7 linked regions of the Sus scrofa genome follow. The protein of the gene in region 3 purifies or fractionates together with the protein of the main gene of each other region. This does not show direct contact. Links are inferred from orthologs where the notes say so. Each region holds a gene or a part of one and is shown on either strand. Other genes may lie near its edges.

Region 1 (3,500 bases), on a different chromosome or scaffold from region 3:
CCATGAGGATGCAGGTTCCATCCCTGGCCTTGCTCAGTGTGTTAAGGATTTAGTGTTGCCGTGAGCTGTGGTGTAGGTCAGAGATGCAGCTTGGATCTGGTGTTTCTGTGGCTGTGTTGTAGGCCAGCAGCTATTGCTCCGATTCAACCCCTAGCCTGGGAACTTCCATATGCTGCAGGTGAGGCCTTAAAAAGACAAAAACAAAACAAAATAAAAAGGACCCCCCCAAAAAAGAAAGAAAAGCTTCGTATACCACTCCCTTCTTATGTGATTTCCAGCCCTTGCTGCTCTCTTATTTCCTGCCTCCTTTAATAGCAGTGCTCTGGGTCTGAGGAGTGCCCAGGACTGCCACACTTTGTTCTGTTTGCTCTGAGGATGGTAATTGTCGAATAAAGGAATAAGAAGCCCCTGCTTTTGGTTTCCACAGCTGAAGAAGATTTTTGCTTTGTGAGCTCTAGCATGCCTGTGGTTCATTAGAATAGTGACCAAAGTTCCTCGCTGTTTTCCAATGCCTCTCCATTCATTTGTGTACCTGATTGAGGAGGAACTTGAGTGTAGAACCTTGACTGACCCACTGTCCCCATCCCCATTTGCTCTGGTTCATATTCTCAGTGTATGAACTCTTGCTTTCCTGTGGCTGGATTCTATTTTTCATCTCACTGCCATCTCACTGAGGTTTGGTCCCTGCCCTAGGATTAGCATGGCCTATCTGTCTGCAGGGCAGGAACAGTGTGGAGTAGATGACTCTGGGGGTCCCATCAGACACTGGGAAGGTGGTGACCTGTTCTTATGGACTCCTTCTGGAAGAATCATGTCTGCTTGACTCAGAGTTCCCACTTGTTTTTTTGCAGTTTGTTAGTTTTCAGTGGCTTTATGTTTCTGAAGGAATGAATTTTCCTTATGTGTCTGATAAAATTCAAAACATATTTAGTTTATAATCCTGATTGTTCTCTTAACAGCTTTTTTCAAGCTGAGAGTGGTATCTTGTCTTTCCCTCTACTTATGTGTTCCAAGCACACTCACACAGTTCACGGGCTTGGTGGTGTTTCTCCATGTTTTGGGGATTTTTTGTTTCTGTTTTTGGATTCCCCCCCCTCCCCCAGCTGTGCTTGTGGCATGTGGAAGTTCCCTGGTCAGGAATTGAACCTGCACCACAGGAATGACTCAAGCCACTGCAGTGACAATACAGGATCCTTAACCTATATGCCACAAAGGAACTCCTGGTTCTTCCTATTAAGTTAAACATTTGTGGGACTAGGGCAGTCAGTTTCTCTGCTCCAGATAACTTTGTTGGGTGATTTGATTGACAGAGTTTGAGTGGGTATGAGCTCTGTGCTGAGCTTCTTGTACAGCATAGAGTGTATGAGGCATTGGAAACTGCTCTCCTCTTCCTCAGATTGGTACTTAGCTGGGAGCAGGAATAATCTTCCAATTTAGGCTCTTCAAAGAAAGAGTATAGGCGCCAAATTCCTTAGCTGAGAATGCTGGGAATGGGGGGTTCATAAATAGCAGAGTGTCAGAGCCATGCAAAGTCAGGCACCAGGGCAACAAGTGGCCTGGCTCATTTATGTAGCGCAAGCTCAAGGCTTCTTAGTTAGGCGAGGCTTAGTCTCTAACCAGTCAGGTGCTGGGAATCATTGTCTTTGTGTCTGAATTGAATTCTTGTTGCATTTATAAGCAATTATAGATGTAATTTCTCTTTTACTTTTTATAGGATATGGAACTTGGAACTCTGGGACAAACAGAGGCAAGTATCATTCCCATAATCACTCTCCTTTTCCTTGGGATTAAACTGATTGAGTGTTTCTGCCACTGCCCAGCCTAGTTAAAGTTGCAGGGTGGGGGTTGTCTTTGGGGGTCCTGGGTGCACTGGGGCCAGCAATTCCTTCACAGGAGGCCTTTTCAGAATGGCGATGGCCCACCCAGCTTGTCTCTGACCAAAAATGTCCTGTCTCTTGTGTTTGTTTCTCTGTCTCCTCGCCCCCTCCATCTTGTCTGTCTCTCTTTCTGTCCCCCTCATTGCAGGCTACGAGAACTATGGTTATGGCTATGGCTATGGCCAGGATAACACCACCAACTATGGGTATGGTATGGCCACTTCAAACTCTTGGGAAATGCCTAGCTCTGACACAAATGCAAACCCTAGTGCCATGGGTAGTGCCAGTGCCGATTCCGTTTTGTCCAGAATTAACCAGCGCTTAGATATGGTTCCGCACTTGGAGACAGATGTGATACAAGGAGGCGTGTACAGCTCAGGTGGAGAAAGGTGAGTGGGCATCTACCTGCCTAGGGGTTGAGGCTCTGCCGGGTCACCTCCTGTCTCTTGTTCCCTGGTGTCTTCCTCTTCTGAACTATCTCTTGTGTCTACTTTTTTCTTTGCTCTGCTGCTGGGGTTTCCCAGAGACTGCTTGGGGTCCAAGGCACTTCCCTTCTCTGGCCTGTGTCCTCTTCTCCCTCCATTCTCCTGCATTGCCCAGTGGTGAGCCTCTCCTCCAGCTTATAGAGGGAGAAACAAGCCCAGACTGGGCTGGTTTCACTGAATCCTCCCATTTCACTCTTCTCAGGAACATTGTTAAATGGCTCCTCCCTCTGGAGACAACCATTTGAAGCTCTCGAGATACTTTGCATCCTGCCTTCTGTCAGGGCAGGACAGATTGGGTTGAGTGTAAAGGTTGGAGTGAACCTTTGGGGCTGACCATAGTGAGCTGGACCATCCCATATAAGGGTACCCTTTGGTGACTTATAAATGTGTACTTGTTGAACATCAGAAGTGTTCCTGTGAGGAACTGTTGATGTCCTCACTATGCAGATGGGGAAAGTAAAGTGTGGGCAGGTCACACCTCTTGCCCAAAGGTACCCAGGAGTAAATAGTGGAGATGGGCCTCCCACTCAGATCTGCCCTGCCCCACAGCATCATGCTGTAGGCATTTGTCATTGTCCAAACTGCTGCTGGCCCAGGCGTTCTTGTGCCCTAGTGAGAGGTTTCAGTGAAGAGGGCATCTCTTGGCACAGCCATGAGGGGAGCAACCTCATGGCTCCAACTGACAGGGAAGAGCAGAGAGTAAGGAGGGACCTGGCCAGGCACTGGTGGGGCCAAGTGAGGCCCCAGGACCACTAGGGGGCAAAGAGTGCCAAGGGGACTTTTGCGTGCATGGGCTCTGTAGCAAGCAAAAAGTGTTGAGGAGTGGGACGTGCCTACCCAGCCTACCCCTTGCCCTTAGGGTCTTCAAGCTGGTGTGTGGCCTCATGCAGGCTTGGGGACACTGGCCGAGAGCCCTTTCTGGCTTCTAGAACTCTGTTCCTCAGAGACCTTTTAATTTGCATATCTGAACATTGATCCTTTCTGACAGGATGGGTGTTGGAGTGGGTCTTCCTATCCCCAGGACAACGAGGTTTAGGGGAAGGCAGAGGCAGTAATAGGATGATGGGACCTGAGATCGTCCCTGATGCTTGCCACCTGCCTCTGCAGATATGATTCCTACGAGGCCTGTGACTCAAGG
Region 2 (3,500 bases), on a different chromosome or scaffold from region 3:
GACAGTGCTCAGGGTAATGACGTACCTTGCAAAAGTGCTGAGGAGTTTTTTGTGAGAGTGTGTTCTTGATTGAGTTTTGGGTTCAGTTACAAATCATCATAGCTTTTTATTTTTTCACTCTTTTGTTTTTTAGGGCTGCACCTGCAGCATATGGAGGTTAGGCTAGGGGTTGAATCAGAGCTATAGCTGCTGGCCTACACCACTGCCACAGCAACATAGGATCCAAGCCGCATCTGTGACCTACACCACAGCTCATGGCAACGCCAGATCCTTAACCCTCTAAGCAAGGCCAGGGATTGAACCTTCGTCCTCATGGATGCTAGTCAGATTCGTTAACCGCTGAGCCACAATGGGAACTCCTAAATCATCCTAGCTTTAAATAATATCTGTCATGAATCTGCTTTCCACAAAAGGAACATCAACCCTGTCTCTGCCACAAGTAAAATGAGATACTAATATCCACCCTGCCTATACCAAAACAAGATCACGAGCTTACCCATAGCTATGTGCCAGCCAGCTGGCCCAGTAAACTGGCACTTAGGATGGATAATGGCACTCTGAGCAGTGATGATAGCCACGTGAGTTCAGTCATTAAAAATAAAGATTTAGGAATTGCTGTTGTGGCTCAGCTGGTTAAGAACCTGACAGTATAGTGTCCATGAGGATTCAGGTTGGATCGCTGGCCTGGTTCAATGGGTTAAGGATCTGGCTTTGCCCCAAGCAGCTGTGGCGTAGGTCACAGATGCGGCTCAGATCCAGTGTTGATCTGACTGCTACAGCTCCAATTTGACCCCCAGCCCAGGAACTTCCATATCCCATAGGTGTGGCTATAAAAAGAAACAAAAAGAAAATAAAAATAATAAAGTTTTATATCTTTTTTCATCCTTATCTATGTGCATGTTATTGGGCTACTTGATTCCAGTTGCTGTGTTTTACCAAAGGAGGAGAGAAGGGCTCTTAGTTGAAAAACTAGTCTAAATATATAAGTTGTCTTCTGTTATCTCTTATTTATATTGAGTATACACATATAGGGCCCCCAAAGCCTCATGATTTAGTAAACTGTCTTACTGAATTTTGACACTCAACAAAGAATGAAGCTTCAAGTTGCTCAACTCTTAAAATAGAGCAGTAGTTTATTGTTGTTTGGAAAGATTAAAGTATGGAAAGATTGAACTATGGTATCAAAAGTCAACAGTGTAGGAGTTTCCATCATGGCTCAGTGGTTAACGAATCCGACTAGGAACCATGAGGTTTCGGTTTCGATCCCTGGCCTTGCTCAGGGGGTTAAGGATCCAGCGTTGCTGTGAGCTGTGGTGTAGGTCGCAGATGCAGCTCGGATCCCACATGGCTGTGGCTGTGGCGTAGGCCGGTGGCTACAGCTCCGATTGGGCCCCTAGTCTGAGAACCGCCACATGCCCCGGGAAGCGGCCCTAGAAAAAAAAAAGAAGGCAAAAAAAAGAGTCAACAGTGTAATGTTACTGTTAAGGGGTTCTGAATTTTTTTATAAAACTAGTGCACTAGTGCTATATCTTTTCTTACATGATCGGTATGTTGCAGAAACCTTTCTTTTTTTTGGTAGTGTTTTTGTCTTTTTTTTTTTTTTCCTCTCGGGCCACACCCATGGCATGTGGAAGTTCCCAGCATAGGGTTCGAATCGAAACTGTAGCTGCCAGCCAGTGCCACAGCCACAGCAATGCTGGATCCGAGCCACATCTGACCTACACCATGATTCACAGCAATGCCGGACCCTTAACCCACTGAGTGAGGCCAAGGATCGAACCTGTGTCCTCATGGATACTAATCGTGCCTGTTACCACTGAGCCACGACGGGAACTCCTCTTTTGTTTTTATCATGCCCCCAGCATGCAAAAATTCCGGGGCCAGGGATCAAACCCACACCAAAGCAGTGAACCGAGCCAGTGCAGTGACAAAACTGGATCCTTAACCTGCAGAGCCACCAGGGAACTCCAGGCATCTTTTACTTTTCAAAATATGTTCACATGTTATCTTATTTGGTCCACACAGCAATTGAGATTGTAAAGTGTTGTTTTGTTGTTTTTTTTTTTTTTTTCCTTTTCTGTCATTAACTCCTTCATATTTTTTTTCCCAACTTAAAGAAACTAAGTTTGTTTTTCTAGATTCTAAACTACTGCTTGTGCAGTTCAACATCCTCACAGATAGGTCCAAAATTCAATGTGGTTATAATCTAACATTTATTTTTTATAATAGCTTTATTGAAGTATAACCAACATACAATGTACTGAATATACTTATTATTTATTTATTCATTTTTAATTACTCAATGAATTTTCATTGAATATACTTAAAATCACAATTTATGGGTTTTGATATGTGTATACATCTGCTAATTCATTGCTATAATCAAAATAAATCAACATTTCCTTCGCCCCAAAAGTTTCCTTGTGTCCCTTTATAATCCCCACTTTTCCCATGCTCTGTCCCTGGGCAACCACTGGAGTATTTTCTATAGCTCTAGATTTGTTTTCATTTTCTAGGATTTTACAAAAATCGGAGAGGGGAAGTAGTGAACAGGACTTGTATCTCATGGTATATTTCTGAGTTGGCTGAAAAAAACTGTAAAGTATGACCTTTCAAAGTGGTGATGTTCTGGTACTTGACTCCACATAGCCTGTGATGGGATAGAAGGCTTTTGATATCTGACTTCTTAATCAGAGCCTAATGTTTAATAAACATAGCTTACATTTATTAAAAGCCAACTCTGTGCCAGGCACACTTCTTACTTATTCAAACCTCAAAACAATCCTGTGAGGTCAGCACTGTTGTTAGCTCCATTTTACAGATGAGGAAATTGAAGCACAGTTCAGTTACTTGCCCAAGGTCACATGGCTAAGTGGTATAACAGTATGACTTTAGAACCACCACTGCTTCTTGGATATGACTAGAAAACGCAAACCCTCTAGTAGCTTTTGCACCAATACCAGTGAAGCATTAAACAATAGGTCATATAGCCCCGAAGCCAGGGTTCCATGTTGAATGGCAAGCATTTCATTCAACTCGGATCTGACTTCGAGATCTTTGATTACGAAAACTGAATGTCTTTATACTGCTGCGTAATCAAGAGTTAACCCTTTACTGCTTGGTTTATATTTCTTGGAAATTGATTCCCGTACATTTTTGTGTTTTCTGGAAGTCTTTTAAGATTTGACCTCTATTTTTGTTTTCTAGATGATCCAGATCCTGATGATGGATTTAACTATAAACAGATGATGGTTAGAGATGAGCGGAGGTTTAAAATGGCAGACAAGGATGGAGACCTCATTGCCACAAAGGAGGAATTCACAGCTTTCCTGCACCCTGAGGAGTATGATTACATGAAAGATATAGTAGTGCAGGTGGGTGAGAGCAAGGGTTCCCAGTGGAAATTTTCACTTTTTGTTGCTTACACTCTTCCTTTTTAGCCTTTCTTCTGTATTTAGAAGAATGACTTGCTGTACAAGTACTGGCCAAATTGAGTCCAA
Region 3 (3,500 bases):
ATAGTCTACTGTCTGACAGTCTTAGCAATCCTGTTAATTTAAAAGAAAGCAAAGGCATGAAGAAAAATACCTACTCTTCCCCTCAAACAAAATCGTCTGGACCACGCCCTGGGAGAAGCATTCAGGCTGTTATTCTAGTCCAAAGCAATGAGAAATAAAGAAGAATAAAGAACAAAGGAAGTATTTTATGTATTCAGTTGTTATTAAAGATGAACTAGAAAGCAAACCAAACAAATAGAACATACAAAAAAAGCCAAGAAAAGAAAAAGCAGTTTGAAAACACCAGGCTTTAGGCACCTTTATATTTCCCTAAATACCTAAAATCCTATAACTCTACCCTTTCATTTCTAAATAAAATCACTTAAAAGTCTTTCAGAGAGTTTGTACCTCTCTACCACTATTATTTTCTTTTCCAAACCAGAAAGAAACTACTCCTTATAGACCTTATTCACTAGTTCACTGAAATCCTACTCTAATCTGATATGGAAAGAATGAATTCAATTTGAAATTTTAGTTCTCCCCTCGACTGATACACTAACCAGATTATTAAACCAATTTCAAGATGTAATGAATAAGAAAAGAAATTTTAAAAGTCCAGGAATTTGAGAAAGTGCTACAACATTCCTTATCAGGTTTAAAACCCAGAACTCTCTGACACAACAGTAAACCCCAATCAAATAGCTGACTGATAATCTTTACCACCCGCAAGGGGCCCCATTACCTCAATCATCCTGCTGTCCACAGGCAGGGTGGTGCTGACCATGTGGACATTGGGTGTGGACGTCGACCTCTGCCGCTGGGAGAGGGAACCTTCAGAGGAAGGGCTGGAGGTGTTGAATGTGAAAGCATGGGGTGTGGAGTATCTGTGCTGGGAACTAGTAGAGAGAAGGAGAAAGAAAATTCCGTGACTGATACTGAGCTTTCTGTACAGGCAGTCTTTCGAGTATCTACTTCATTAAGATACTTGGGACAAACCCTACTTGAACTACAACCTTTGACAAAAAAATGTTCCTTTTTTTCAATATGCACCATTTATTTTAGAAAAGGAAATATACATGCTTGGAATTCATGTGAAAAGAAATGATACATTATTAGTTTTCTTCTATTTAATAAACCACCTCTACAGAATACTCTAAATTTTAGACAACCTCTGAGAGAGATTAACAGTTACCAACCATACTACCCTCTACTAAGCTAGCTGGGACTTATTCAGGTTAATTATGAGACCAAATTAGAAAACTTTAAAGAAGTTTTTTTTAAACAGATGGTCAGACCTACTAAGCATGTCTACAAACAGGCCAGAATTTTATCCACTGTGAATCCTCTCCCCCATAAACAGCTCACAAAGTCAATTAACGTGAGCTGAGTTTTTAGGTTTCAATACCTAACTGTGAAATGTATCACTGGCCTCTTTTACCCAAAACCACTCTCCCACCAACCAAACTGGGAACATGCATTAGGTATAAGATTTTCATTATTTGCTCAAAAGATTACTCTGAGTTCTATTCAGATTCAAGCAGCACCATGCATGAATTCAAGGGACAAAAAGATGGTTTTTCTAAAAGAAACTGCTTTACTTCCTTGAAAGACTGCCTTTCCAGGCAATTCAACACTAATGCTCTCAGAACCCCAGTTTCTTCCATCTAAATGTATCTAAATCTTCAAAAGCAAGCAGTTCCTTTCTTTTTTGGCCACACTATGCAGCGGCATGATAAGGAATCTCAGTTCCCAGACCAGGCAGCGAACCTGGGCCACAGTGGTGAAACCACCAGGTCCTGACCACTAACAAGACCACCAGGGAACTGACAATTACAGTTTTTCAGTCAGACTTGCTTTTCAAATTATCAAGAAAAATAGAAGTCATATACAAACACATCTAGATTATCAATTCAGATTCTTTGTTCTAAAATATGCTACCTTTAACAAATTTCATGATAGGTTTACAAAGGCCATTAAATGTTTTATGAATATGGAGTTCCTGTCATGGCTCAGCAGTTAGTTAACATGACTAGCATCCATGAGGATGTGGGTTCGAACCCTTGCCTCGCTCAGTGGGTTAAGGATCTGGTGTTGCCATAAGCTGTGGTATAGGTCTCAGACTCAGCTCAGATCCCATGTTGCTGTGGCGTAGGCTGGTGGCTTCAGCTCCAATTCAACCCCTAGCCTGGGAACTTCCATATGCCACGGGTGCAGCCCTAAAAAGACCCCCCCCCAAAAAAAAATTATGAATATATATAAAGTCAGATACTTTGAATAAAGACGTAGATTTGTTTTTGGTTCCAAATTCATGTGTAACACTGAGACATGTTAACTCAAAGCTTAAAACAGCTTTTAGGAGTTCCCTTTGTGGCTCAGTGGTTAATGAACCCAACTGGGATCCATGAGCATGAGGGTTTGATCCCTGGCCTCAATCAGTGAGTTAAGGATCTGGCATTGCCATGAGTTATGGTGTAGGTTGAAGGCGCGGCTTGGATATGGTGTTGCTGTGGCTGTGGTGTAGGCCAGTGGCTGCAGCTCCCATTGGACTCCTAACCTGGGAACCGCCATATGCCGCAGGTTAGCCCTAAAAAGACACATAAATAAATAAAAATAAAATAGATATTATACTAACATCTAATTAGATGCTTTTAAAGAGAGCAGTTTATTAGGTACCATGGTTTTAGCAATGTAAGCCTACAATAAGTAATTCAAAGTTGAGAGTTTTACTTTTATTGAATCACTATTTACTGTTTTGGGACCCTTTCCCTGAGGCTCACTGCACATGCATAATGAGGAAGGCAAAAATCTCAAGTTCTTTAAAACGTAATGAGAACAAAGGGACATGCTAGGATAACAGAATAAACTATAGTCACAGTCACTTTCCAGAATTCAAGAACTACAGGACCACAAAGAACTACGTTTTGCTCTAACACCAACACTGGGGTCCACAGAAGCAGCAAAGGGTTTACACAGGGCGGAAGGAACGCAAGGAAACTCCTGTCTTTTGCATCCATGCTTTCAATCCCACCCACACCAATAAAACCTTCCAAAAGAAAAGCAGTAGATAAAAAATACCTAACAGGCATCCGGGAAACAGATTCTCGCATCCGACGCATTGTCAAAGAAGGCAGTGCTGGGACCCCACTATCACCAACAGTGGAATTTGGGAACAATCTAAATGAAATCAGAGAAAGACTGGTTTATAGACTTGTGGTAATAATTTTACAGTCAGCCTGCCTGGCCTTGCAAACTCATAACTACTCAGGCCGAACTATTCCTAGTCACATTTTCTTGGACCATTTGGGCTACCAGAGTAAAGGGACTACCAAACCAAGTGACTGAGTATGAATGACTACGGAATGTGAAAAATCCTGACTTGCCAGTGAACACAGAGTCTCTAATGTGCATTTCTAGGAAATGCTGCTTCAATGTCCAGCTGTATCAAAATAATTTTTTCAAAAGCTATACACAGTAGGGCACTTTATAACTAACCTAAATCATGCAGAGCTTTTCTGGAAACA
Region 4 (4,104 bases), on a different chromosome or scaffold from region 3:
TCGCTGGCTTACAACTGGTTGAGAGCGCTGCCGCCCGACACCCTAAGAATGGAATCAACCACGATGATCTCACAAAATGATGAATTCGACAACACAGGGATATGATCTAACCTGTCCCCATCCTCTCTCCTCAGTCTTTGAGCGCAAGAAAGGGGACAAAAAGCTGTGTGGACACGGGGTGTGGTCATCACAGCCATTGGTCTGCAACTTTCTACTAGAGCCATCACAATTAACTGGTTTACTTTTCGATGGGGAATGTCGACTACGAAATACGACTTGCATGTGCACACTGGTTGTGCGAACCTGGGGAGAAATCTAAGAGAAGTGGTAAGATGAATTACCCGGGTTCCTGCAAATCGACAACAACGCCCAGAATCGCGACCGAAGCGCCATCGTTGAGGGAATCGCAAACAAAGCCTCGGGCAGACCAGGCCTCTTTCCTCACTGGGGTCCCAGAGGTTCGCTGGGCGCAGCCATGTTTACTTAGGGAAAAGCCTAAGGCTCACGTAAGGTCATCGACGCCTCGACAGGAACCAACAAGCCCCCCGCCGCTGAGTGGTAGAGAGTGCAATCTGTCATCTCCGTTCCTCCAATCAGCGCTTACGCTGGGGGCGCACGCAGGCGTCGGAACCAACCAAACACTTAGCAGCAACAAACTTCCGGGGAGGGCGCGAGCCGTTAAGTAGAGGACGCTTGTTGTCGGCGTCCGGCGTCTCGGGCACGCAAGGCAGCATGTGTTCTCTCTTTGGGCCCTCGGGTTGGAAGGCGTGGATTGACCATTGTCAGGCACCCCTCTCCACACACGTGGGGGAGAAGGGGCAACGCAGGACGCACGCCCTTCTCTTTAAAAAGGGTGGCTGTCGTTTTCCCGTAGGGCCCATGGAAAACCTTGCCCCGTCCCATCCAGATTCGAGCTTTTACTTATGAGTCCGGAAACAAAAAGAGACTCGCTGCGTGCTCTTCGTGCGAGCTCCATTTAAAGGAAAACAAACTATAAACAAAGACTCGGAACCCCAGGTCTACCTCAAACGGCCCCGCCCACCCCGTCCCCCGTCACTCTCCAAGCCCCGCCTTACCTTTTCTAGAAGGCACTAGAAAGTGCAAACGCGCGTGCGCAACCTGTTTCAGAGGAACGCTTGAGCGTAGCACCATCTTCCGCCAGCGGTCCAAGTTCCTGACTTCCGACCTCCTACCTTCGCGCCGTTCTCATTCGCTTTCTAATTGGGCGAACGGCTGGACCCGCCCTCCTTCCGGCTCCTTACTTCCTGCGCGTTCAAGCTTCTCGAACCCTCCGCCCCCACCTTTCTTTCCCGTCCTGCCCCGCGGCCTGGCCGGGGCGTGGGGCGGTGCTGGTGAGCGAGGAGCGGCGTTCCCAGCATCCTCCGCGGCGCCGCTGAGGACCGTTCCACGCCGTTGCCGCCCGGCCGGAGCACCGCGCCGCAGGTTGCCCTCGGTGTGCCCGAAACTCGACGTGTACCCTGCCGCGAGGATGGAGGGGCCTTTGTCCGTGTTCGGGGACCGCAGCACTGGGGAGGCGATCCGCTCCCAGAACGGTAAGGGCGGGCGAGGCCTGTCTGGGGCCCGCAGCGGTGCGCCGGATTCCCCTCGGCCGTCGTCCTTTTGCCTTTTCTCTCCGAAAAGGGGCCCCCGGGAGGCGCCAGCGCGGGATCGCAGCCCCGGCCGGCCTCTCCGCTTCGGGGTGGCGGCGCCCTCTTCCCGGAGGGAAGGAGTTCCCAAGAGCCGGCACGTTTTTAACGGGAACCGCTCGGATGCTGCGGTCGGCCGGGGAGGCCCGGCCCTGGGCCTGAGAAGCACTCCCCGGCCTGGCGAGGGTTCCGCGCACTGACACGTGCGGCCACGCCTTGAGTTCTTGGGGCCGGTGCCCCGCGCGTTTGGGGCGTCCATCCCAACTTCTGGGTCTCATTTTAGCGTTGCTGATCAGAAAAGACAGCCTTAATTGCTGCTCTTATTGGTGAGCGAATGGCCCCACAGTTCAGAAGACAAGCCCGTTGCACACCACCGGTTGTCATCTGGAGTTAGATGCGGTGTCCCCACCTGTCGTTGGTCACATTTGGTAATAGTTGGCTAATGAAATTTGTTGAATGTTAGGGTAAGATTAAAATGAGTTTATCTACTGAACTTCAGCCCGTTAAAGCATTTGTGGTTGAGCCTCTCTTGAGACTGTTTACACTTTGAAGCCCTGCATGCCAGGTTCCAGCCGGTCTCTAGTCGATCTTAGGGTTATTTTGATAGATTCCTACGTGATTTTTGTAGTGGTGGAGTTTGTAGTATAGTCATAACCTCTGGATTTCTGCTTTTTTGAGTCACAGATAAAGGATTATTAATCTCAATAGACCTTTTTTTCTTTAAAAGAGTTGCCAGAACGTGCAGGAAAAGGCTTAAATATATATTTATCTTTTTCTGTTTTGTGTGATGTGACAGAACCTGAAATGACTAGTAGATATATTTTTTTAATTGTATGCAGCAATTAAGTGGATATTCACTTGGCACCTGTTTTGCAGTTGAATTCAAACTGAACTTTACTGGTTACTCTCCCTCCCCATCAGAGACTTTAGCTAATTTCCAAATTTGGACAGATTTGCAGATTTGAGAAATTCAGAGGCTGTTGGATATCCTTTATGTTTTGGGGAGCTGAAATGCTTGTCTCTTGGAATCCCGGGTTTTTCTAATTTCTTTTTTCATTTCTACAGTCATGGCTGCGGCTTCGATTGCTAATATTGTGAAAAGTTCTCTTGGTCCAGTCGGCCTGGATAAAATGTTAGTGGATGATATTGGTGTAAGTACGTCTAAATGTTGTGTTAGTCACTTTAAAGGGAAAAAAAGAGCATTTGTAAATACTTTGCTGTGTAAGTTACTTGTTTTTATTAGAATGGTTTTGGGAAGTCTAGTAAAGGTGAATGTATCGTAATGGGACTGTGCTAACTTAGAGGGTATTCTGTTTCTATAGGTGATTGTGTCATTTTTTCCCTCCCTGGAAATTTCTTAGGATGTAACCATAACTAACGATGGTGCAACCATCTTGAAGTTACTGGAGGTAGAACATCCTGCAGCCAAAGTTCTCTGTGAGCTAGCTGATCTGCAAGACAAAGAAGTGGGGGATGGAACCACCTCTGTGGTAGGTAAAGACTAGTGGCCGAGGACTAGTTTTTGTCCTTAAACTTTCAGAGTAAAGGCATAACCCTCCTAAGAAACTCCTCTGCTTCTGAGTCAGAAGTAATTTACATACTTGAGATGGAGAAAATTTAAGTTGTTTTAGGGGTAGTGATTCAGAAAATTTGAAAACTCATGGTTAGGGCTAATTTGTACAACTCAAGTAGGGGGGGAAAAGCATAGTTCTTGTTTTAAATTTTCTACAACTTTTATGCATTTTTTCCCCTTGGGCTGTGCTTATATTAAAGCATCACGCATCTGTTGAATGGTTTCTTTTGAAGAAGAAAAATGTTATTTATTTCTCTTTTTACAGTCTGAGGCTTAGAAATTTCTAAAACCTTCCCAGGTGTTTAAAGACAAGATGTTTTTATATTTTAAATGCTGACAGGCAGTCTCACAAGTTCAAGAAATCTGGTAAATATGTGATCAGTAATATGACATAAACCTGAAGATGGACCAACACTGTGATGTGTTATAGAGACGCTGTTATGTAGTAATGAACAAATAATTTGCTCTACAGAAGCAAGCAGTAGTGGGGGGGGGGCATCTCTTTCTGGATTAAACTTTAAGCTATGAAAGAATGGAATCTAGCTCTTCTGAAATAATGGAAATGGTTTTTGCTAGTAACTGTTCATAGTAATATAGTTTTTTAAATGACTTTAATTTTCTCAAAAGAAATAGATGAGGGTTTTTTTGGTGTTTTTAAATGAAAATAATTTTGGTGTTCTCAGAAGGATTTTTTTAAAGTTTTATTGCTGTGCGGTTGGTTTACAGGATTGTGATAATGAGGTAGCCTTTTCACTGTCTTTACTTTGTGGTGATGAACATCTGATGCGTGGCAGTGTTTTTATGTGTGCGCCGTCCATGATGTCAGGCTAACATGAGAGCAATGAATGTTCTCTCTGCAGGTTATTATTGCAGCAGAACTGCTGA
Region 5 (3,981 bases), on a different chromosome or scaffold from region 3:
GCGGCTTCCTTGCTGGAGGTTATCCACCTTCTTCTTCTGTTAAAACGGGGGGCATTTACAGCATAAAAATCACATAAAAATCAAACCTTACAACAGCCTGCCCAACAGCAATATAGTGCGAGTCACATACGACTTTAAACACTTTCTATTTCTAGTACATACACCAAAAAAATAAAAGCAAACGAAACCATTATTTATCCCCATATACCAAAAACACTATCACTTCAACTTGTCATCAATATCATACCCGTTAGGGAGAGGTTCTGCATTCTCTTTTTGGGTAAAGAATACATACATCTGAGTATCAGCTATCATATCTCCACTGGGACTAGCCATACTTTTAAGTGCTCAATATAGCAGGTGCTAAGTGCTAATTCTTAGAAGCGTGGCTGCTATTACCATACCTCATCTGGAGTAAGCCACTGTACCACGTGAGTCATCTGGAAGACGGGCCTACATTTTGGGATAAAGTCATAGGATTTGCCTTTAGCCAGTCACTTCCTGGACCTCCACGTTTTAACTCACAGCCACAAAACACACGGTTCCGATCTAAGCAAATGAACAGTTCGCATAAATGGGGCCGCTGCCCCCTCTCATGTGCAGGTTATCTCAGTTGCGAGACGGGGGTGAGGGTGGGATGAGTCGTCACCCCAAATGCGGGGGGCCCAGCACCACTAACCCCGGGGGGGGAAAAGCAGGCGAATGGGAAAGTCCTTTAAAAAGGGGAAGGGCTGGTAAAAGGAGCGCCGAGCCCTTCGGAGAACAATTACGGCCGTGGGGCAGGGCCACGTTCCGGGGATGTGGGTGCCAGAAGGGGCAACAATGGAGGCGGGCGAATTCCGCGAGCCAGCAGATTCTGCCGAGCCAAGCGAGCGTCCGCAGCCCCGGCCCGCGGGCCCTTGCAGGGCCGCGAAAGTGCCGAGCCGCAGGCGGTGGAACGTCCGGGTTGGGTCTGGGCTCTGGGCCGCAAACGCCGCCTGGGCCTCCACCGCGCGAGTCCACTGTCTCCCGGCTCCTGAGTGGCTGGGGGGCCGGGGTTAACCTTTCACCGCCGCGCTCTGTCCAATCACAGGCTCGCTCTCATGCCGGCGCGGGGCGAGCGGAGCGTGGGGGCGCGGAGGGGGCGGTGCGGGCGCGGGTGGGATTCTCCAAGCTGCTGTGCGCCGTTGCCGCGGGCCTTGCGCGGGCTGCGGGCGAGCCGGCCGCTGCGCAGTCTCCGCAGCCGCCGGCGGGAGGGGTCGAGGCGGAGGCGCGGCGCGGCGCAGGCTGCTCCAGGCCCAGGTGAATGGAGTAACCTGACAGCGGGGACGAGGCGACGGCGAGCGGGAGGAAATGGCGGCGGCGGCGGCGGCGCCGGGCGGCACCGGGAGGCCTGGGTTGTGACGCGCGCGCCGAAGCGGGGTCCGATGGTTCTCGAAGGCCCGCGGCGCCCCGTGCTGCAGGTGAGGCGTGCTCCCGCGGAGCCGCTTTGTGTCCAGGGCGGGGAGCGGCTCCGCCCGGCCCCGCGCCCGCCTCTGCGCGGAGGCCCGCGTGGGCGCCCGGGCCTGGGCCCCGCGGTGGGGGGACCGGCGCGGGCAGATGGCGCGGCCTCGCCTGGTCCTGGACGGCGCGGCCTGCGGGGCTGGCGTCCACCCCGCCGGGCTCTGCGCCTCCCCGACCCCGGCGCCCGTCCCGAGTCGGCGCTTCGGAGGGACTTTGTGCGGTCGCCCAGGCACCGGATAGGGACGCGGGCGCCTCCGCTGCGGGCGTGGGGCCGGTCCTCGCCGCTCGCCCCGGGCCCGCGGAGAGCGGGGCTTTGACAGGTCCTGTTAACGCACGCGGCAGTGGTGCGGGATCAGCAGCCCCGTCCCGGGAGCATCCTCGGGACCCGGTGGTGGCGGTGGCTGCGCTGGGCCTCCTCGATGGACACCTTCGAGGGGGCCAGGAGGGAAGGAAGCCGGGCCGTCTGTGCTGGCAGGAAAGTGCGAGCCTCTGGGGCGCGCCCTTCGAGAATTGTTCGTGTTTACTGGCAGGTGACCAGATCTGGGTCCCCAGGGGCCGGTGACCGAGGCCATCTTTCCCCCCACCCCTCCTCTCCAGTGTTTTTGTGCCAGATCGCCTGGACCCTGCAAAGGAGCCTTTCTTAAGGGTTTTTAAATCTGCTTTGGGAAATCAGTGTATGTTTCAAGTTAGCATAGTAGATTTTTTTGTAGATTGTCCAGAAGAGCTGAGCTGCCTGGTGGCTTTGCCCGCGGTACAGAGCTAACTAACCACTTAATGTATCTTTAATAGCTTGAAGATTTGCAAAAACCGAGACGAGCGGAGAGTCCTTGCTGTAGAGTTCAACCTGTGCTTTTGGGAGGAAAAGTCCTGCTGAAAGGGGCACATTACTGACTCATCTAAGTCTGAAGTATTGCGACTATCACGATTTAAAAGCGTTCATCTGATTCAACAGTATTACTCTGGAGTCTGTGCTTCTTGCGGTGCTTTGGCCTTTGACTTTTCTGAGTCGTCACAATCCTGATTTTCAGTTGTCTTCTTGTTGCTTGTTTTTTCAAGTGCAGCACAGTGAGTGGAAAAGGGCACAAGTCAGGAGTTAAGTAACTTGGAAATTATTTTTTTTAATGTGCTTTAAATAAAAGGCTAACCACATTGAAAGAGTATTGGCATAAACATTAAATTTTCTAAATAAAAATACCCATCTTTGCCAAGAGCTCCAATAATTTGTTAGAGGATGAATGACGGGACAAGATTCTGAATGTGCTGCTAGTGAATAGTAATTTTAGTATTAGTATCTTTGGGAAGTAGGTTCTGGAATAATCAGTTTATTTTGCAAAGCATTGTCTTTAAAGCTTGCTGTCCCTCTGGGGCATATGTATATTGTAAGTAATATATGAAACATATATGGTTACTTCAGAACTTCATTTCAGGACATATTTTATAAAACTATAGGTTAGAAACACTGCAGAGATTGCCTTTAATATGTCACTATGGATACTTAAATGGCAATGAGGGATTTATTCAAGGCATCAAAATGCTGTTTTAAGAAAAGATGTCCACGTTTCATTTGGGGAGCAAAGCCCTCCTTTTTCTGCAGTAAGGGCTTGCTTTCCTTTTTATGCTGTCTTCTCATCATTAAAGGCTAGTTCTGCTTCTTGTATTATGCCTGTGGGTCTGTGTGTGAGTTGTATGTGAAGTGGTTTTGCCATTGCTGAATTGTATTGTCTTGGTTTTAGAAGACATTTTTATCTTGATGTGGCTCATGATCCTAATTTGACAGTGATTTTGTGGTGGTGTGCAGTGGGTAGTACTTTTAAAGTACTCCTGTCTTCAAGAAGGCTGACCTTTAAGGCACTGAGATATTTATTCCCTGCCGCTCTGGGACAGATGGAGGAGATACTTGTTTCATTTGAGAAAGTAGGTATTTCATGGACATTCAACTTAATGTTGTCTTATTTTATTTATTTATTTTTTTTGTCTTTTTTTTTGCTATTTCTTGGGCCGCTCCCGAGGCATATGGAGGTTCCCAGGCTAGGGGTCCAATCGGAGCTATAGCCACCGGCCTACGCCAGAGCCACAGCAACGTGGGATCCGAGCCGTGTCTGCAACCTACACCACAGCTCACGGCAACGCCAGATCGTTAACCCACTGAGCAAGGGCAGGGACCGAACCCACAACCTCATGGTTCCTAGTGGGATTCGTTAACCACTGCGCCACGACGGGAACTCCATGTTGTCTTATTTTACATGCAAGGAAGCTAAGACTTAGAGGGTTCTGACTCTAGAAGTGACAGAGCCAGGATTGGATCCTGCTCTGATTTCACAGTCTTTACGTGTGGGCGCTTATCCTTGCGTTGCATTGCATCGCTGCTGCAAGTGGACTTGAGGTGAAAAACCTGCATAAGTTGCACGTAAGTCCTTAGTTAATACTTGCTGAATGAATTGAAACTGTCTCACCTTAAGTGTCCAGGTGACCTTTGATTATCTGAATTACTTAACATTT
Region 6 (4,244 bases), on a different chromosome or scaffold from region 3:
CCTAGCCTGGGAACCTCCAATACGCCGCGGATGCAGCCCTAGAAAAGACAAAAATGAACAAATAAATAAGTAAATAAATAAGACAAGACCTCTTTTTTTTTTTTTTTTGTCTTTTTCTAGGACCGAACTCTCGGCATATGGAGGTTCCCAGGTTAGGGGTCTAATTGAAGCTGTAGCTGCAGGCCTATGCTAGAGCCACAGCAATGCTGGATCCAAGCTGCGTCTGTGACTTATAACACAGATAATGGCAAGGCCAGATCCTTAACCCACTGAGCAAGGCCAGGGATCCAACCCGCAAACTCGTGGTTCCTAGTCGGATTCGTGAACCACTGAGTCATGACGAGAACTCTTTTTTTCTAATTTTATTTATTTATTTATTTATTTTTTGGACAAGACCTCTTAAGGACTTATTGCTGTACCTCTGCCTCTCTCATAAAATCATTCATTCTTGGAGTTGCCACTGGTGCAGGGGATATAGCAACAAATATGGTCATCTATGGAGTTTCTGTAGTGGCACAGTGGAAACGAATCCGACTAGGAACCATGAGATTGTGGGTTCCATCCCTGGCCTTGCTCAGTGGATTTAAGGATCTGGCCTTGTGGTGAGCTGCCGTGTAGGTCATAGACATGGCTCCGATCTGGCATTGCTGTGGCTGTGGTGCAGCTGTAGCTCTGATTAGACCCCTAGCCTGGGAACCTCCATATGCCGCGGGTGTGGCTCAAGAAAAGGCAAAAAGACAAAAAACAAAAAAAGCATTAGCTATTATTATATTTATGGTATTGTTATCTAGGAGCTCCTAAAGAAGTAAGAAAGGGTGGGAGAGAAGGAAATGATCCTAACAAAATATTTAAGAGCTAAAATGAAAGTGAGCAAAGAACACCAAGGCCCACAGCCGAAGCAGTCGGGTTAAATCTTGTCGTCAGTGGCTCATGGCCAAGACAGCCAGCTATACCATAGTCTTAGGCTCTGGAATTGGGCCCTGGTTTTCAGGAGGCAGAGCCCAGGCCTTGGATCATTCAGTTCCCTCTTTTCTTATAAAATTTGGGCCTGGCGGCCCGGGGCCGAAAAGAGGCCCGGAAGTCCTTCTCCACTCTCCACCGAGAGCCGATACAGCTTTCGCCTAACGGGTTAAGAGATGACTGGAGGCAGCGCTCCGGGAACTACGCTTCCCAGCATGCAACGGGCCAATAGAGGCCTTCCGGTCTCGTCTGGCCTCCTCGCAGGTTTCGCTGGGAGTTTGTATTGACCTCTACACCCCTCTCATTCGAAGGGGCTCTTGTCCCCTGTAGGCCCCTCCCCTTTCTGAGGAAGGGGGGGTGACCTCGCAGAGTCCCGCGAGCTGTTCCCTTCTTCCCTTCTCATTGGCTCAGCCTGGCTGCCATTCCTAAGCGAGGAAGAGAAGTTGATTACTGATTGGCGGATTCCGTTTGGCGCCAACTTGGACAGGGGGGCGGGGCGGCAGCAGGCCCCTGTGAGCAGCTATTACCGCGAAAAGCCACCTCGGCAGCGACAGCTTGGGAGATAGGTGAAAGCCAGCTTGGTTCTCTGCGTCCTCGGACTGGGCAAGAGAGTGAGAAAAAAGCGAAGAGCTTGTGAGCCCGGGCCGTTGCCTCGCAGCTCTGGCCGCTCTCCCTCCCCGACCCCCCACCCCGTTCGTTTGGATTTAATCTTCAGGTTGCCGGCGCCCGCCCGCCCTCCCGCCGGCCTCGCGGAGTGAGGGGAAACACCCGTGCCAGAAGCTGGCGCCTGCAGAGTCCGAACACCCGCCCGTCCGCGCAGCTTGCCCGAGACAGTCGCGTCCCTGAAACTCGGGGTCGTGTTTGTGTTTGACCCGCGGGCGCTGACGGCGAGGCGCGCGGCCGAGGCCAGTGCCGGCGGGGCGGGGAGGGCGCGGCGGAGGAAGAGGGAGCGGGATCCCTGGGAGGCCGGGCGCCGCCATGGAACTGGGCCCCGAGCCCCCGCACCGCCGCCGCCTGCTCTTTGCCTGCAGCCCCCCTCCCGTGCCGCAACCTGTCGTGAAGGCGCTGTTCGGTACGCCAGCCGCCGGGGGCCTGTCGCCTGTCACCAACCTGACGGTCACCATGGATCAGCTGCAGGGACTGGGCAGGTGAGAAGGGACCGGCGAGCGGTGCCGCAGGCCGCTGGCCTCCCAGATGGCTCTCGGGAGAACGGACCCGGAGAAGAGCGAGACTTGGTCCCTTAGGGGGCGGCCCCGCCGGCGGGGCCCGCCATGTGCACCCTCCCCCCAGCCCCCAGACCGAATGTTGAGCGGGAGAGTCTGTTCGGACCTCTCCAGGGCCGCCCTCAGCCCCGAGCCAGGCCCGGTAGCGGGTGGGGACTGCTATGGTTTCCCACCTTCGCCATCCCTTTCATTTTCCCTGTCCCCTTCTTCTGTTCCTATCCCAGGAACTTTTTTGAAATCTACCTCCACGGAGGGAAAGCAAGTCCTCCTCACTTCCACCCTATGCTGAACCATCTCTCAGGACTTTAGTTGCCTGTGAGCTTTGTTTCCTTCTGAACAAAGCGACATTTGCTGAGAAGGAAACGTCTCTTTGCCCCGGTTTCTTTCCTGGTGTTTGCAAAATTATCTCAGTCCCTCGCCCCATGCTCATTTCCTATGTGCATCCTATGTTTTCCTACGGCCAGATCTTTTTACTCGATTTTCCACACTCAGAAGCTCCCTGAATTTTCTTAATTGCAAAAAATGCATCGCATCGTTTTTCTGGTGAAGCTGCTTTCTCTTCAATCTTAGATATCCCATTTTCTAAATAAGCACGTCTTCCATCCTCTGAAAAGCAGGAACTTGTCCTACTCATTCCTGCTTCTAGCTGGGTACCTAGAACACATGCTCTCCTTCCGGGAAGTACTCCAGTAATTGATCATAGTCATCCTGTGCCAGGCCATGCCAACCCACTTATTTCTCATTTCCTTTTATGCTTAAGTCCTGAGTGGCCAAGTGTTCTGTGATGTGGCCTAGAAGTAATGATGGTTGGTGGCAGCATGGCTACTTGCTAACCTCATGGCCTTCCTCCTGTTTTAACCTTAATTATGTCCTAGAGCTATAGACAGTTATTTCTCTTGTTTTCAGTGAGTATGAACAAACACTGGAGGTGAGGAACAGCAGTCTGCAGAGAATGGGCTCCTCCGAATCAACTGATTCAGGTATTGGTTTAAGACATTTGTCATGTGTCTGCTGGGTGCGGAGCAATACCTAGAATTTGCTGAAATGTGCTTTCACCTAGAAACTTAGTTTGGTGAGTAGTTGAGATAGTAAACAGAAGCATGACTTTGAGTGACAGATACCCTTAAGATACAAAGGAGGCCCTGTGGTACTTTATGTCAAGTGGTCCCAAGGAAGTGTGTGCTTGGTCTTTTTTTTTTTTTTTTTTGTCTTTTTGCCTTTTCTAGGGCCACTCCTGCGGCATATGGAGGTTCCCAGGCTAGGGGTCTAATCGGAGCTGTAGCTGCAGGCCTATGCCATGGCCACAGCAACTCAGGATCTGAGCTGTGTCTGCGACCTACACCACAGTTCACAGCCACGCCAATTCTTAACCCACTGAGCAAGGCCAGGAATCAAACCCACAACCTCATGGTTCCTAGTCGGGTTCGTTAACCACTGTGCCACAACGTGAACTCGTGTGCTTGGTCCTGAGGGTGAGTAGTAGAGTAAAATTTAAACCACTATGAGTGGCATTCAGAAATTTTACTGGTTAAATGCTGGGTCAAATTATTGGCAGTATAATGAAATTATTTCAGTGACCCTGGAGAAAATGTGCCAGAGCATTTTATTCTAACCCATAAGTTCATGCTTTATTTATTTGCATAGATGCTTTAGGTTAGGGAACTACAAGTGAAAAGTCTTAAGATGTAGGCTCCTTAAGAACCACAGATAACGATTCTTATTTATGTCATTGTGGCAAGGGAGAATGTCAGTCAGGAGTAGCAACAAGTTACTTACTGTGTGGGTATCTAGGCATCATGGAGGAAAGGTTGTGGGCTAGGCAACCTTAAGGAGTCTGGACCATGCTGAGCAATGTTTCCTATTGTGCTACCTTGCACTTGACTTGACTTGGTGTTATTCTGTTGAAGGCAATACTTGCCTTGCTTGTCGGATGACAACTGTATTTCCCAAACCCCTGATAAGATACTTGAAATCAAAACTATTCAGAAAATGGGTACTTAATTCTTTCCATGGTTGGAACTCACAGAAAGTTAGCTTGGGTCATCCCTATCTGAATAACCA
Region 7 (4,282 bases), on a different chromosome or scaffold from region 3:
AGGCGAAACCCCTGCCATCACAACCCATTAGGAGGAAAGTCGCACAAAGGTAAGTATAACGGTGGATTAGGAGTGAAAGCTAGTATTGACTGGGTACTTACTAAGTGCCAGACACTGATGTAAGTTCTTCATGTATTTTACTAATTCAGTCCTCCTCAAACTCTATCAGCCGGGTACCATTATAATGCTTGTTTGTAGGTAATGTATGGTGACTGCTTAAGGATTCATAAACCCCAGGGAAGGTTTCCTGAAGGACTAGGAATTAGCTAGGTAGCAAAGGTAGGTCGGAAGGCAGGGCCATTCCAAGACCAGGGAAGGTGTGGATGCCACCTACTGGAAGTCTCTGAAGTATCCCTGGCTGGGGCCAGGGCTTGTCAGAAAGTTGCAGGAACACACAGGATTCAGTCTAGAAAAGAGAGTGGTCCATATCCTACAGACAGCTGGAGGTTTGAAGGGTTTTAAGCAAAGGAGAGACTTGGCTAGATTTTTAGAAATATCATGTGGGCAGCTGGGTGGAGGTGGATGAGAGGTAGAGACACTGTGAGTAGTAATCCAGGCGTAAGTTGCTGGTCCCAGGGCTTGGGGAGGTAAGGAGGAGGTGAGAGAGAGAGGCAAAGTTTTCCGGACGATGATGATGATTTGGGGATTGTTAGTTAAATAGGGGACAGAGCAATTTTGAAGGACATCTAGTTTCTGCTCCTAATCCAGAAGAATGGGGAAAATCTGGTGAGGTAAGTTTTGGATGTGAGCTCCTCCAGCCCCCAGCCTTTTTTTTTTTTTTTTGTCTTTTTGCTATTTCTTGGGCCGTTCCCGCGGCATATGGAGGTTCCCAGGCCAGGGGTCCAATCGGAGCTGTAGCTGCCGGCCTAGCCTAGGCCAGAGCCACAGCAATGCAGGATCCGAGCCGCGCCTGCAACCTACACCACAGCTCACCGCAACGCCGGATCGTTAACCCACTGAGCAAGGGCAGGAACCGAACCCGCAATCTCATGGTTCCTGGTCGGAACCACTGCGCCACGACGGGAACTCCAGCCCCCAGCCTTTTTGCCTTCTGGCGTTGCCTGAGGCTACTGCCAGCCGGCGCCCTTCCCGCCACCCGGATACCCAGCTGCTCAGGGGGCGGGCAACAGAAAGAGCCTGAACCAGGAGTTCCCATTCTGGCGCAGAGAAAACCAATCCGACTAGTATTCCTGAAGACACGGGTTCCAACCCGCTCAGCGGGTTGGGGATCTCGCGTTGCAGTGAGTTGTGGTGTAGGTCGCAGACACGGCTGGGATCCCGCGTTACTGTGGCTGTGGCATGGAGAACTTTCATATGCCGCGGATGCCCTAAAAAAAAAGAGCCTGAACCGGCGCCCTCGGCCGTGCCCGGGACAGCAGTGCGCCATCCTGTGCGCCAGAGGGCGCTCCCGAACATGCTCTGGCCGCTCTGGCCCAGCCTGTCTCAGTGGCCGCGGAAGGTGACGTGGACACGGAAGTGGTCGTCGTCGCGGCGGCACCGGTGGGAACGGGGTGCGGGGCTCAGAGTGCGGCCGGCGGGCGGACGGTCGGCGGTGATCTCGCACCTGCGGCGGCGGGGGACGTAGGCTTTGTCGGTTGAGTGCGCGTCCCCTCAGTCCACGAGCGGCTTCTCAGCCTTTCTCCTGCCCGTCGGAGCCCCGGGGCCGGGACCCGTTCAGCCGGCGTCACCATGACCAAGGCCGGTAGCAAGGGCGGGAACCTCCGCGACAAGCTTGACGGCAACGAGCTGGACCTGAGCCTCAGCGACCTGAATGAGGTCCCTGTCAAGGAGCTGGTCAGTACGGTCCCTCGAGGCCCAAGGCGCCGGTCCTCGACTGGCGCTGGCCCCTGGTGGGGGGGGGTCTCCTTCCTTCCCAAGCTTCAGTTTCCATGGCTTAAAACGAGGTGGGGGAAGTGGGACTAAGTCCTCGGGGAGGCCGCGTCCAGCCCCAGCGTTCTTCCTGGGATGTACACGTGTCACTTTGGCGCAGGTCCAGAAGATGGGAGGTTAGCTGCTGGTGTAGCCATGGGCTTTTTACGGGTCAGGAGTGAATCTTCGTGCATTTCAAGAGCTTTCAGGGAACTTCGCTCCGTGCCCGACCCAGAGTAGGCGCCCACGGAGAGATTGCTTGATGTTTTGGGAGAATGAATGAACAAATGAATGAGTGACTCGTCAGAGTAGGCCTCCGGGTAGACCTGGGTGTGGCTCAGAACCAGGCCTTTCTAGGAAGCGACCAATCCCAGCTGGCTGTCCCAGCCTTGAGGCGTCCTTCCTTGAGAGTGAAATGTCACTGCTTGGTTGGCAAGGTCTCTTCCCAACTCTGAAACTGGCGGGAATCTGCACCAGGGTGGCCCCCCCCCCCCCACTCCCACAACCAGGAAAACAGGCTGAGGCCCAAGGGACATTACCTGACTAGTTTGTTGCCAAAGTGAAGTTAATGTACATCCTTGCTTTGCCCACCTAGTTCCCCACCCTTATCCCCCACAGTAGCGTCGCTTTGGATGACCTGCACTTTCGTCACTGTCTCTAACTGATCATATTTGCTTTTGGCACTTGGCCCAGTCTTCCCTCCACCTTGGCTGTGTAGTATCCAGGTTAGAATGGGATTCCCAGTTCGTAGATCAGCTGTATTGCTTAATGGCTTAGTACCCTTGGCAGGCTAGTTAACCTTTGAGCCTAGATTATCCTCCTTTATAACACGGTGATAGTTGTTGCTATCTCATAGGGCTGTTGGGAGGACTAAATACAATTGTAATGTAAACTACTTGGCAGGTAGCAAATGCTCATACATGTAGGTATTACCAAGGTGTGCTTCCCATTGTAATAGCTCAAACTTTTTTAGGTCGTCAGATGTCATTCTTGGGACTTTCTGACATTTGGAAAGTGCAGAGTTGACCCAATATCCTTAACCGAATATTTGCCTTCTTCCTGGCCCCAGGAAGATGGCCAGCCATGTGTCAGCCTGGCCCTAGGACTGCCATCTGAAAGCACTTACTCCAGGCATCTGGTTGACACAACATCGCCCCCGGGAGACGGAAGGATTAGTTTTGCTGAGCTTCTCCAAGCTGAACCCCATGGGAAAACAGAGCTGGGATGTGAGGGCCTTATTTTACTTTGCACTCACTCATGTACTCATTCATTCAGTCGTGGATCAGCCAACGGGTATATGGAGAAGAGCCTTGACCTAGAGAATATGGAAATCACAAAGCTGTTTGACAGAGTCCCTGCCCTGAACCTAATCGGGAGCAGTACTAGAGGGAATAGTAGGAGTGCCATGGAGAATTTCTAAGAATCTGTTTTCCTTTCTTGGAAAGGAATCCCTGCTCTTTGCATTCATCTCTCTGTCCTGGTTGACTCTGACTGGCTTATTTTGCCTTTCCTGTCTCCAGGAACATTATACTTTAGAGGTTTTTTTTTTTTTTTTTTTTTTTTTTTTTTTTTTTTTTTTAAGGTCTTTTCTAATCGTGGGGACTTTCTCTGGAAATTGCTTCATTAGCAGATGTCACTGAATTGTTCCATGTGTTGATCTGACGTTTTGTTCTCATTCCCTTTCCTAGGCTGCCCTCTCCAAGGCCACCATACTGGATCTGTCCTGCAATAAACTGACTACTCTACCGGTAAGACTGGCAGGGAGCCTTCATGCTTCTCCTTCTTATTTGGCGGAGTTACATCATAAGGCATAATTTCAGGATAGGCCTGCCAGCAGGCTACCACTAAATTGGAGTGTGTTGGGGGTAGAAGCGGGGAGGTTCATCTCAGTAGGAAGGGAAGCATGGTAGAGGCCGCTTTCTTTAAGAACAGTGGGAAAGTCAGGCCACCAAAAACGAAAGTCACCAGAACATTTGGCTGAGTCGCTTGTTGGGGTCATGTTTTTTTTCCTGCCTTATTTTATTCCTTTGAGAAATAGTTTACCTCCCTATTGCAGTAGAAGAGGCAAGAGACGATTCTGTAAGTTGCTCTGCATTCCAGAGAGAATGCTGTTTCTGAACAGCCTCTCCGTGCATCTTTTGATGGGGAATGGGAAAAAGCATAGTTCTGTGGGACTTGCCATATCATCCTCCCGACACCTGAATTACTTGAGATAATGTTTCCAGTCGAATCCTTCTGATTTTTCTTGTGCAACTTCTCCTGCTTCTTTTGCTCCACCTGTGAAAGCGTAGGAGTCATTCAGCCCCCTCGACCTCTCCTGGGTATGGGCTGGTTTCTCCTCCATGGCGGTGGTCCTGCACCGTCAGGCCTAAGTTTGTTGTCATTATTGCCTTTTCCATCCATTACTCTGGCC

Evidence for each region.
Region 1: the proteins of RAF1 (region 3) and AKAP8L purify together in Homo sapiens (affinity purification with mass spectrometry; 3 studies listed by BioGRID and IntAct, with this or other methods). This does not show direct contact. The link is inferred for Sus scrofa from reciprocal best matches to the Homo sapiens genes RAF1 and AKAP8L.
Region 2: the proteins of RAF1 (region 3) and CALU purify together in Homo sapiens (affinity purification with mass spectrometry; 3 studies listed by BioGRID and IntAct, with this or other methods). This does not show direct contact. The link is inferred for Sus scrofa from reciprocal best matches to the Homo sapiens genes RAF1 and CALU.
Region 4: the proteins of RAF1 (region 3) and TCP1 purify together in Homo sapiens (affinity purification with mass spectrometry; 3 studies listed by BioGRID and IntAct, with this or other methods). This does not show direct contact. The link is inferred for Sus scrofa from reciprocal best matches to the Homo sapiens genes RAF1 and TCP1.
Region 5: the proteins of RAF1 (region 3) and DICER1 purify together in Homo sapiens (affinity purification with mass spectrometry; 3 studies listed by BioGRID and IntAct, with this or other methods). This does not show direct contact. The link is inferred for Sus scrofa from reciprocal best matches to the Homo sapiens genes RAF1 and DICER1.
Region 6: the proteins of RAF1 (region 3) and CDC25A purify together in Homo sapiens (affinity purification with western blotting; 3 studies listed by BioGRID and IntAct, with this or other methods). This does not show direct contact. The link is inferred for Sus scrofa from reciprocal best matches to the Homo sapiens genes RAF1 and CDC25A.
Region 7: the proteins of RAF1 (region 3) and LRRC59 purify together in Homo sapiens (affinity purification with mass spectrometry; 3 studies listed by BioGRID and IntAct, with this or other methods). This does not show direct contact. The link is inferred for Sus scrofa from reciprocal best matches to the Homo sapiens genes RAF1 and LRRC59.

Annotation. Positions count from the first base shown.
Region 1 is NC_010444.4:62,194,735-62,198,234, forward strand, and holds part of AKAP8L (A-kinase anchor protein 8-like), read left to right. Parts: intron 1-1,714; coding exon 1,715-1,747; intron 1,748-2,025; coding exon 2,026-2,266; intron 2,267-3,469; coding exon 3,470-3,500. UniProt on the Homo sapiens protein: Could play a role in constitutive transport element (CTE)-mediated gene expression by association with DHX9. Increases CTE-dependent nuclear unspliced mRNA export.
Region 2 is NC_010460.4:19,851,805-19,855,304, reverse strand, and holds part of CALU (calumenin), read left to right. Parts: intron 1-3,207; coding exon 3,208-3,374; intron 3,375-3,500. UniProt on the Homo sapiens protein: Involved in regulation of vitamin K-dependent carboxylation of multiple N-terminal glutamate residues. Seems to inhibit gamma-carboxylase GGCX. Binds 7 calcium ions with a low affinity.
Region 3 is NC_010455.5:68,598,906-68,602,405, forward strand, and holds part of RAF1 (RAF proto-oncogene serine/threonine-protein kinase), read right to left. Parts: intron 3,154-3,500; coding exon 3,055-3,153; intron 876-3,054; coding exon 722-875; intron 135-721; coding exon 75-134; intron 1-74. UniProt on the Homo sapiens protein: Serine/threonine-protein kinase that acts as a regulatory link between the membrane-associated Ras GTPases and the MAPK/ERK cascade, and this critical regulatory link functions as a switch determining cell fate decisions including proliferation, differentiation, apoptosis, survival and oncogenic transformation.
Region 4 is NC_010443.5:7,588,836-7,592,939, forward strand, and holds the start of TCP1 (T-complex protein 1 subunit alpha), read left to right. Parts: upstream 1-1,304; 5' UTR 1,305-1,489; coding exon 1,490-1,553; intron 1,554-2,711; coding exon 2,712-2,797; intron 2,798-3,007; coding exon 3,008-3,136; intron 3,137-4,079; coding exon 4,080-4,104. Other genes in the region: MRPL18 (39S ribosomal protein L18, mitochondrial), read right to left, coding at 1-42, 1,077-1,152. UniProt on the Homo sapiens protein: Component of the chaperonin-containing T-complex (TRiC), a molecular chaperone complex that assists the folding of actin, tubulin and other proteins upon ATP hydrolysis.
Region 5 is NC_010449.5:116,433,621-116,437,601, reverse strand, and holds the start of DICER1 (endoribonuclease Dicer), read left to right. Parts: upstream 1-1,181; 5' UTR 1,182-1,281; exon of another isoform or gene 1,282-1,442; intron 1,443-3,981. UniProt on the Homo sapiens protein: Double-stranded RNA (dsRNA) endoribonuclease playing a central role in short dsRNA-mediated post-transcriptional gene silencing.
Region 6 is NW_018085145.1:101,417-105,660, forward strand, and holds the start of CDC25A (M-phase inducer phosphatase 1), read left to right. Parts: upstream 1-1,444; 5' UTR 1,445-1,938; coding exon 1,939-2,108; intron 2,109-3,089; coding exon 3,090-3,163; intron 3,164-4,244. UniProt on the Homo sapiens protein: Tyrosine protein phosphatase which functions as a dosage-dependent inducer of mitotic progression. Directly dephosphorylates CDK1 and stimulates its kinase activity. Also dephosphorylates CDK2 in complex with cyclin-E, in vitro.
Region 7 is NC_010454.4:26,691,468-26,695,749, reverse strand, and holds the start of LRRC59 (leucine-rich repeat-containing protein 59), read left to right. Parts: upstream 1-1,482; 5' UTR 1,483-1,689; coding exon 1,690-1,794; intron 1,795-3,557; coding exon 3,558-3,617; exon of another isoform or gene 3,618-4,282.